Linked DNA regions of Arabidopsis thaliana. The protein of the gene in region 2 interacts with the protein of the main gene of each other region in a pairwise test. Each region holds a gene or a part of one and is shown on either strand. Other genes may lie near its edges.

Region 1 (5,507 bases), on a different chromosome or scaffold from region 2:
CTCGATGTGAAGGACAGGATCACCGATCTTGTTCCAGCTAGACCATTCATCTTCATCAGTATACAGAGTCACTTCTTGTGGGAGAGAGAGTTTATCGAGGAAATGTAGAGATGATTTCGTAACGACGGCTCTGACTTCTGCCCATTCGGTGAAGCAATGGCAGAGATTGCCGAATTTGATAGCAGCGACGCTTCCACTTGCAGCGAGTAGTACACGAGGCTTCCTCGGTGTGGTATTCACTTCCATGTCTTGTCTGTCTCTTTTCCCATTCTCCATAGCTCTTTTACACCTTCAGAGATCTAGCAAAGTAGCCAATGGTTCGGCGAAGAACCCTAACCGAAAAATTGATCTGGTCGAAGAGAATATCAAAATGTTTTAGAGGGAAGAGAAAGAGAGAGGCCCGAGAGGACAATCATTTTAGTTGCTGGTCAAATGGGCCATTGACTCACTCTTTTTTAGGCCTCGGTCGTATGGGCTGTGAATATCGATATATTTCATTTTATATTTACTTCGTTTGGACTGCAATTTCGATTCTGAGTTCGACTGTTGTGTTAACTCTAACATGTTTTCGAGTCAAAGTTATATAGCTTTTTGAGCCAACGTGAGATGGAAATGAAGATATTATTAGTAAGAAATTAAGTAAGAGTCGACCTGCTAAAACCGTTGGGTGGAAAATAGACACGAAAACATCTCCACAATGTGCAAAGCGGAAGCAGAGAGCAGAAGACAGATTGAAAAAAACAAAGGCACAGACGCAATAAGAGATTATTAAAGATGGAAGACTAGAAACATCGCTAATTTACAGCCACGTCTTATGGTTTGGTTAAAGACACACCGACAACAACACCATTAACGAGTCTACTATTTCTTCTTCTGCAGACAACAAAACCTAGAAAAATTAAAATTCCTTATAGATTTTTATATAATTTAAGATGCGATTCCAACACCTAAAACAACTAAAAAAAAACACTCCTAACGCCAAACACCAAGGCTATTATGTCTAGGTTGTTTTCTAGATCATTATTATTCTTCAGAACAGAGCTTCTTGCATTGCCTCTGCTTCTGTCTGGGTCTGTGTTTCTCCTTCTCTTTCTTGTCCTTCTTCTTGTCCTCCTTGTGTCTCAGCAGCTTCAGTTTGTTGAGCTTCAGTCTGTGGTGCTGCAGTCTCCTCTGGCTGCACTTCTTCCATAACTTGTGGCTCAACGGTCTCCGTCACTGTTAGTGCTTCCAGATCTTTTATGGCTTGCACCACTGCTTGATTCTCACTTGTAACTCCATCCTTCAACACCTTCACAATTTCTTTCACTTTCTCTTGCTGAAATCATTTACATACAAAAACCAAACATAAGCAAGTAGAATCGAATACTTTAATCAAATAAAGGACAGCCAAACTGTTTATTGTCAACAAGTAGACTTACAAAAATATCAAACTTCTTCTTGAGTTCTCCAGAATCTTGTGTCCCAGTCGTGACTGATGTTCCAATCTAGGTTCATGAACCAAAAAATAAAATTGTTGGATAAAAGTATAACATATTCAAGAAAGACATTAATGGTTAAATTAAGAAGTCTTACTTTAGATCCAATTGAACACGTTACTAGTAAAATAGAAGATACAGAGAAGAAGACACTATGTGATGACTTAGAAACCATTAAGCCGGATTAACACACTAATTGATGATAAAATTATTCCTAGCTATAGCGATACATTACCGACTATTTTGGTCTTAATTATCCAAACGAAAATTAAAATAAAACAGAGAAACCAGATAAGGATAAGCCAAAAGTAAGGGACACGAAAATATAATAAAAACACTAGATACTAGTCAGATTTTGGATACGCGAAAACAGACAACAATGCTCAAAAGCGGAAAGTGACATTGAGTTTGAATTCCACAATGATTGCAACACAAGTATCAAACTTTATCAATCTAAATTGACGGCGGAGCAGTGAACAATCATGCACAGTAAACGTCAGATATTGCAAAATCGAGATCACGAATACAGAATTGGGGGATGTGAAAATTTACCTTTCTGGGTCTACCTACAGGACGTCCTCGTCCTCTCTTAGGCTTCATAATAAGCCTACTGATAACACCACCAATCTTAGGTGGTCGTCCACGTCCACGCTTCATCCCTGGCGCAACCGCTGCCACATTTTCACCACCTACTGGAGCAACACTAACAATACTGCTAGGGTCAACAACTCTCCTAGGCCTTCCTCTGCGTCTAGCACCATTAGCAACATAAGGATACACAGAGGCAGTAGAAGAAACGGATTTGGGCTTCCTCTGTCTCCCAGCAGCTCGACGACCCGGTGGTCTACCTCTACGTTTCATAATTCCAGCCATAACCGAAGCTTGAACGATTGGTGCAGTAGCAGGAGCAGCAGAACCGTTCTTCCTTGGACGACCAGGTCCTCTCTTCGCCGACTCTGTAACCGGAGTCGGAACCGGAACAGGTGATTGAACTTGCTGCTGTTCCCAGATTGGCTGTCCGTTAGCCTGGACTTGATTGGTCGGTGGAAGTTGCTGTAGTGGTTGTGGTTGAGATTCAGGTTTAGGCTTAGGAGGACGACCACGACCTCGTTTCAGAGGCTGAGAAGCAGAGCCAGAAGCCATGGGATCGTTGTTACTTGAATGGAGAATCTCAGATCTGGGAACATCGAGACCTTGAGCGGCGGCAGCAGCAGCAACAGCTACACTAGCAGGAGGAGTAGAAGAACCAGCAATTTTGTAAGATTTCTTAACCATAGAAAGAACACCACTGGTCTTCAAAGTCTTGAGATGGTGAGTCAACAAAGCAGCATGAGCAGAAGTTAAACCGGTGTAACATCTCTCGATGTATCTCGAAATTGCCATCTTGCTCGAACCATCCGGTTCGTTTAACGCCGCAATCGCAGCGCAAATCATCTACACACAGAAAAAAAAAATTAGTAACAAAAAAAAAAGTAACTGAATTTAGTTATAAAGGAAGAGGCTTTTAAGATTGAACTTACTTCGGAGTAAGGAGGGTGGGGCATTGAAACATGTGGAGATAACTGAAACATCTGCGGTTGCGGGATTTGCGTTTGCGTTTGCGGCTGCGGTTGGAAGACGACATGGTTATTGTACGGATTTGGTCCTAAAGGATGATGATTGGAGGTGGGAAAATGAGGAAAAGGGGTGAACTGAGGAGGATGATGAGGATCACCAAGAGATGGATCCATGGATGTGAGATTTTTGCAGAGCAAAGAGAAGAGAAGATACAGTAAAAAAAAAAAAAAGAACAAAAAAAAAAAAGACAGAGGTGGAAGGTGAGATTTAGATTTAGGGTTTTTTTTTCTTTTTTTTTGTTTTTTGCTCTGAGAGCTCTTTTGATTTTTTTGTTTTTGTGAAAATAAAATTTTTGTGAGAGAAATAAATAAAGTTAGGTTGGGGAGAGAGAGGCGGAGGAGTAGAGACGAAAGGATGAGAAGAAAGATTACTATTAAATCTAACCGTTGATTTGTTTTCTATCGACGGTTTTGACGAGGATCGATGACGTGTCATATCATTTTGTCTTTTATTTTAAGGATTTTGTGTTTCTTTACTTTGATTTTTTTCATTTTTGCCTCTTAGAATTTTGCTACATTTTCGCTCCAATGTAATAAAAAATCACCAAAATTTTAAAAATGGACCGCCAAAATTTTAAATTATTTTTCTGAAAAGAACTCCTCGCTTTCAGTGTAAAACAATTTTGTTGATTTTAGAATAACATCGAATGAAGTATATAGCAAACACTGTTACATTAAGTAACCCATGTAACAAACTCCATTAAAGAGTGTATGATAAGTAAGAGATGTATTGAGATGAGTATGGCAAAACAAATGCAATTACTAACTTCTATGTCCTCTGTTTAGGATTTGAAATCGATACATTTACATAAAATTTAGTTTCAAATTTATATTTTCTGTGAATTTTGTTAGAGTATATATCTATTTGCGACCCTTTAACTTAATCACAAAATGATACATCAAATATGTTTTTCATTAAGGAAAAATTACAAGACATTAAAATATTTTTAAACAGTAATGTATGATATTTACATTTGAATTAAATTTTAACTTTAGTTGCATTTTAACAAAATATTTGATATATATATATATATATATCTATATATATATATATAAATGTACGACGTAAAACAAAAATAACAAATAAATGTAAACCTCTTATTATAGATGATGAAAGATAACTTTATGAAAAAAATAAAATATGGAAAAATATATTTACCAAGTGCTAAATACATTTTTCTTTTGTCTTGTATCACAAATAAGCGTGATATATTTAAAAGAATAATTGAAATATTAAATGATGAAAGATAAGTTTTAAAATTTTCAAAATATGGAAAAACATGCAATTAGTAAGTATTGATTGCAAATTTTAATTTGTTTTGTACAAAGAAGCGTTATTTATTTAAACATTATAATAAAAATGATAAATAGTGAACGATGAATTTAAGAAAATTTAAAATATGAAAAACTAGAATTTATAATTGTTTAATGCAAAATTTATAACAAACAAGCATTTTTAACGGGTAATGTAAAGGATACAAAGTGAGCGATAATTTTAAAGATATTTAGTGGTTTTACATATAGTTAATGTTTTTTTTTTTTTTTTAGAAGAACTTTTTTTTTCATTTGACATTTTAATATTGTTTAATGAACTTTTGTGTATTATATGTGTGGATTCAAAAGGGTAGTTGGATAGATTTCACCATTTGAATTTTGAAGTAGCAAATCTCAAATAAAATCAATGGGACTAAGAACAATTGATAAATCTATGGGGGAACAAGTGTCACACCTATCTCCTTGGTAAAGCCAGCCCATACATCACGGTACCCAAAAAGAATCATCCAACAAGAGAATTGTTGGTACATATTACTGACATTACAATACGATATTATAAAGAGTACAGTACGTTTATGCTTATGCATTAAGCGCAAGTAAAACCCGATATATGCTCATCATTCAAACTCCAAGTATCACCTGAGTCGTGTCGTTTTCATACAACAATTTATGTATGCTCATTCTTTTAATACTAATATATCTGTGTTGTGATGTGTGCATGCGTGTGCTCGAATACTTTCAAGCAAGGGTCAAACAAAGTGCGGCTGGTAATAGACGATCAGAAGACACAATCACCAGACACCAAGTAAGCAGATGACAAAAGACGATCACCACACCAGAATTCCAACAAAACAAAAGATTATGATATGTTTTGTCGCCTCTGATATGTCACACTACACAGTACACACAACCTCTTATAAACAACACTTTTAACGGGCCGAATTATCAGCCTTCAATATAATGTTTACTTATGTGATGGACCTCAACATTACATGGGCCTATCTGTTGCATAATTAACAGTTTTAAGACCCTTTTATTTTTCTCTCGAATTTGAAATGATTTGTTTATGTTTTTTATTTAAATGTTTTTGCATATTTGGTTGGGTCCTCTCGAGTCACACACGACCGGAGACGTGCATTAG
Region 2 (5,229 bases):
TAATTACAGTTTTTCCTAAGTATTATATACTCCTTAGTATTTGTAATCAGTTAACTTGTAACGTATGGTGCCAATTAATATTTTAATTGTTAACGAAAAATAGTTATAAACTTATAGTTGGAGCTGCGAGTAACGGTTAAGAAATTAATAATACATTTCCCACCAAAAAAAAAACGGTTTCAATTAATTGGAGATAATGGCTGCGAGTAGTTAATACTTTTCAGGTGATTCTTGTAGTTAATGGCCTCTTAAGAAATGAGAAATTAAATCTTGTTGTAGGTTATTAATAAAGTTGTTTAGAGAGCAATTTTATTAAATACCACTTTTTAGTAAAACTAGGTGATTCTATGATCAGTTTTTTACTCTTTTGTTTCTCAAGACTGTTTCCATTCGTTTCGGTTCGGATTTAACCGGTTTAGACACTCATAGGCGTAGGTCGTTCTGAAACATTTGAGTCTTTAGAGACTTTTTTGTTCTTCTGTACAACTAGAGCTAACCAGAATCTGAAATTTTTCGAGCATCTTTATACTATACAATAGATATTACAACTTCTTGCTTTGTTCTAGTGATCTGAAAGAGGAACTTACAGGAGTTAGTAATCATATTACTAGGTTAATCAAAGACAAAAAGTATATACATACCTTCAGACCAAACAATAAAGATACCAAAGGGTTTCTCAAAAATCCTGATATAAGAGAACAGAGTCATGTCACCAGACAAAATAAACTCCGTTCATCTGTCAAGCAGATCGGCTATATTTTCACCATAAACACACAAATTCTCTATTCAGTAAAGTCAAAGAAACACAACAGACATGAAATTACAAATATAATTCTCTTTAAGAAGACAAAAGATGAAGAAGCTATTATGTAAGACTCAAAAACCATTTAAGCAGGATTTTCCAACAAAAGGCTGAAAATGGTTTCTTACAACAAGATATAACTATTACGGTAAAATAAAATTAAAAGCTTGTCTGTTGTCGTCATAATCCACTTTTGCTTAAAATTAAAAACCTTTCAACACACAAAACTTTACACACTCTGTTATAGAGAAGACATGTAAGCAAATGTGGTTTCTGGGTATCCCTGCCATCATTCCTCACCAACTTCGTCTTCTTCGTCATCATCTTCATCAGAGTCACCTTCTTTCTCCTAGAGACAGATATGGTTTTGAAAAACTTATCAGGCACAACTTATAATGGAATCTCCAGAATTTAAATGGTTTCAGGCATTAATAATAACACAATGTTCTGTCTTAAGATATCTCTATCTAATCTTTCATCTCATTATGCACATTAATTAGCATATCATAGATGCAGTAATTTTTAAGTAGAAAACTCAACCAAACAAAGGAAATAAGATGAGGCTTTTACCTCTTCATCTCCATCATCGTCTCCATCAAAGTCCTCTTCATCAGCGTCCTACAAAGTTACATTTAACAATTTACCAAAATCTCCAAGCAACTTAAGCGCTCTAAACCAAGTAAAGACTGAAAAATGATATGGTGAGTAGCTTACATTGTTGAAGTAGGTGAGAGGGTTGGGCCACAAATCTTCCTTGATGATATCTGCAACCTGCTACAAGACGAATTTCCGAGTTCAAGTTGGGCCATACATGGAGTTACTCTTACAATCAAGTCATAAAAAAAATATAGGATCATTACCTCGTCTTGCATCTCATCCTCAACATCCTCCTTGTGTTGAGCATCACTAAACCAGGTAAAGAAGCTGAAAAAAGACAGGTAAAAGATAGAGAGTCCTTAGACGTGTAATGGCTAATAAGAATGGTGCCAAGAGTTTTAACTTGGATCTATGATGGGTTTCAGTGAAATGGGGGAGATGAGAAATACCTCTCTTCAGGTAGTGCACGTTTGTTTCCATTCTTCTCATGATTCACTCCATTCGCCAGGCCCTTGATAATTGAGAAATATAGTTAAGAATAATCTCAAAAACAGTGACAGCTTAAGAAATAAACTTATTTTATGCAATAAAGATCCATTTTACTTTGCCCTCTTTCCATTTGATAGGCGTGGCTGTGATTTTGGTTGTCCCTTCTTCGAGAAAGGTAAAAGTCTTTGTCAGTTTTCCATCTTCAAAAAATGGATTGGGATTGAAGGACTGCAATTCACAATGTAACAACAATCAGTAAACGAATAAACTAAACAACTTGGCTTTCTTAGATCAATCAGAGATATATCAATCAAATTATGATAAAGTCGCATAATAACAAAAGAAACTTACAAAAGTGATAGAGTATCCAGATTTCACATCTTTGGCATCCTCAACATCAAGAGAGCTAAGATATTTGAAAATCTGTTCAAAAACAGAAATATCGAATCAACAGGACAAAGAATGAAAACTGTGAATCAATCAATCAAAATCTAATAAGGAAAACACAAACCTTTTGGTCTTCTTCAGTCAAAAGTTCACCTAAAGCAGGGTGACTCAAGAACTACAACAAATGTAAATTTCCAAAATTCCAATTAGAGAAAACATTGTTTAAAACTCTGAATTGAAAAAAAAAACAGAACAGAGAGTCTGGCTTACAGCAGTTAACCAGAAATCAGGGATGGTTTTGATGATCTCGTTACGCTTGTCATAAACAGGTTTCCTTATCACATTATATTTCTGCTCCACTTCCAACACTTCATCACTAGCCTTTTCATTTATCTATCAAAACCAAAACCAGAGAGGTCACTGAGAGATTGGACTCAACACAACAATTCAATCCTCAAACAGTTTTATTGACAAAGTCAATTTGAAAGCGACCACATTTCACTCGAAAGACACAACAACAACATAATTACTAATAAAGATACTGACTTTTCTTTATAATTTGTCCACTAGAAATCTGAATCGAGAGAGAGTCCAACACAACAATTCTCATTGATCAAAGCAATAAATGAACATCGACTAAAGGAAAATTCACGAGAAAATTTAAACATGGGGATTGTTAAAAATTTTTGGAATTTACCTTCTCGAGGTCGTCTTGGATCTCTTGAAGCTTTTCGATTGAGAGGACAAGCTCTGCATCGATTTGCTCGACGTTTTCTTCTTCGGTTTTCGCCTTCTTGCTCTTGTCTGTCACCATTTTCGATTCCAATTGAGAAAACCCTAATTGCAAAAAACGCAGAGGAATTAGACTTCCTCTTCCCTCTTCTCTCTGGCTTCCGAGAGAGCAACCGCTAAAACCCTAAAAACTCGATTGTGTGATGCGTGAATCTGGGCAAACTGATTTAGGGTTTTGGGGGTTTTGTTAACCAATTAGATTACGTCACGTTACAGAAGAAGGGTATTTTTGTCATTTAGAGCCGGGAATTTCATATGTTTCTTTTGTTTAGGTTTTTTATTTTATTTTTATATAATTGGTTTTGTGATTTAAAAATAATAGAATCTACCCATCCATATATAGATTAATGGTGATTAAGTGATTAACAAAAATATATCTAGCTTAAATGATGTGATGTTGTTTAAGTTTTTTTATGATTAAAGAAAAAGTCATGTGTTGACAACAACAAAAGTCATGTATTGACAACAACAAAAAATTCATGTAATTGGTGACAAAAACAATATTAGGTAACAAATCAAACAATACAATCATGATGATTTCTTAATAACTTATCTGATCAACCCACCCTTTATATAATTTTCTGTGTGGATTAAATTAAATTTCTTATCCATGGGCTCAAAATGGGCTTCCCAGGGAACTTTACGGGCTACTGAAATAATGTAATTGCAACAGTCTATACATGGGCCACTATTAATAAACCTCTTGAGACCCAAATAAAATGTTTGTTTTTTTTGGTGTAAAGGAACCAATGTTATTAAGTTAAGTTATTAAGTTATTAACTACTCCATTTTTATACGTTTAAAAGGATCACATTTATGAATAAAAAGGTGTCATATTATTCATATTCAACGGTTGATTTATTGGAGTTGTTTGGCTCTAGTTGGGTATTTATGTGTATGTATATCAGACAAAACATAATAATAGGTATACTTCTTTTTCCTATTTAATATCGAATGGAATTGGGTAAGGTGGTCACAAAGTAATTAATATTGTTGAAAACATTCTTCACAGCTGGTGGTACCACAATACTTGATTTAAATACATAGAAAATATTAGTATAGACATAATTTTCGGCTTCCACTAATTGTAAACAAATATGGTAGTACATTAATTTCGTTATATTCTGTCGAACCATTAGAAACGAATCAGCAATGAATTATTTCGCTTAATATTAGTTTTTTTAAGTTTTGTTCTGTAAAGAAAAAAAGAATGTCAAGTTTTGTTCATATGTGTATTAGTTAAAATGTTTATACAGTAACATCTTAATATGTAGATTTATTAAGATGTTACCGATATGTATTAAAACTTTATTCAATAAATATAGTGCTGTCTAAGGCGGTCCAATTAATTATATATTTTGCATCCAATGCCCATACTCTGTTTATTCGTTATTTGAACAAATTAGCTCGTTTCGAGTTATTGAATTGGTCCCAATTTGAGAACATTCCCCTTCACATTTACTACTAACCAACCCTAAGTTTGCAATTGCATGGCTACAAATATATATCCGACGTTAATGCCAGTTTTGTGTAGTCTCATAGAGACTAATTGATATTTCCTTGTCTCGACGTCAAGTTCTCATCGTCGTCTCTTATTATCCACATGCTGATATGCATAATTTGTAGGGTCGTGACTCACGGGAGGGATCTATATAATTACGATGTTTTATTATATAATCCATTCCAATTAATGCGTAACGTCCATGGATGTGATATGGTGAAACATGTGGTGTGGAAATGATAATCCTTATATTTTAGTGTCATTTCTTAAAAGTTGCAAATATGGTATAACATGCAGAAACATAGTTAAGAACTTAAATCATATTCCAAAGAAGATAGTAAATCTAATAAGCAACATGTATTATTGTACGATGGTCGAAGACTAAAAAACTGGAGTGAATATATATATGTTCAGTGGTTACTTTGTATCAATTTTGTTCCTGGATAATTTGGGTTTCTGAATTGAATTTCAAAATTATTATAGAATTCATCGTAAAATATAGTGTGACTGGTTAGCTAGTGTCTGATCAAACTTAATTTGGACGTCAATCTTGGTTGGATCTTATGTAAATTCCCCGAAAATCACCATTATCATAGCTTTGTTTTATTATCCACTATTTTTTTTCAACGATAACCATAATTGTAGGGTTTATTATATAAAC

The links.
Region 1: the proteins of NRP2 (region 2) and HON4 interact in a two-hybrid assay, tested with the Arabidopsis thaliana proteins (one study listed by BioGRID).

What each region holds. Positions count from the first base shown.
Region 1 is NC_003074.8:6,168,354-6,173,860, forward strand, and holds HON4 (winged-helix DNA-binding transcription factor family protein), read right to left. Parts: upstream 3,653-5,507; 5' UTR 3,206-3,652; coding exon 2,996-3,205; intron 2,910-2,995; coding exon 2,028-2,909; coding exon of another isoform or gene 1,956-2,027; exon of another isoform or gene 1,573-1,955; intron 1,485-1,572; coding exon 1,419-1,484; intron 1,316-1,418; coding exon 1,031-1,315; 3' UTR 610-1,030; downstream 1-609. Other genes in the region: HAL3A (HAL3-like protein A), read right to left, coding at 1-276.
Region 2 is NC_003070.9:6,480,375-6,485,603, forward strand, and holds NRP2 (NAP1-related protein 2), read right to left. Parts: upstream 3,273-5,229; 5' UTR 3,090-3,272; coding exon 2,973-3,089; intron 2,669-2,972; coding exon 2,546-2,668; intron 2,451-2,545; coding exon 2,400-2,450; intron 2,312-2,399; coding exon 2,240-2,311; intron 2,117-2,239; coding exon 2,003-2,116; intron 1,911-2,002; coding exon 1,849-1,910; intron 1,727-1,848; coding exon 1,663-1,726; intron 1,577-1,662; coding exon 1,517-1,576; intron 1,421-1,516; coding exon 1,373-1,420; intron 1,152-1,372; coding exon 1,092-1,151; 3' UTR 739-1,091; downstream 1-738. UniProt on the Arabidopsis thaliana protein: Acts as a histone H2A/H2B chaperone in nucleosome assembly, playing a critical role for the correct expression of genes involved in root proliferation and patterning.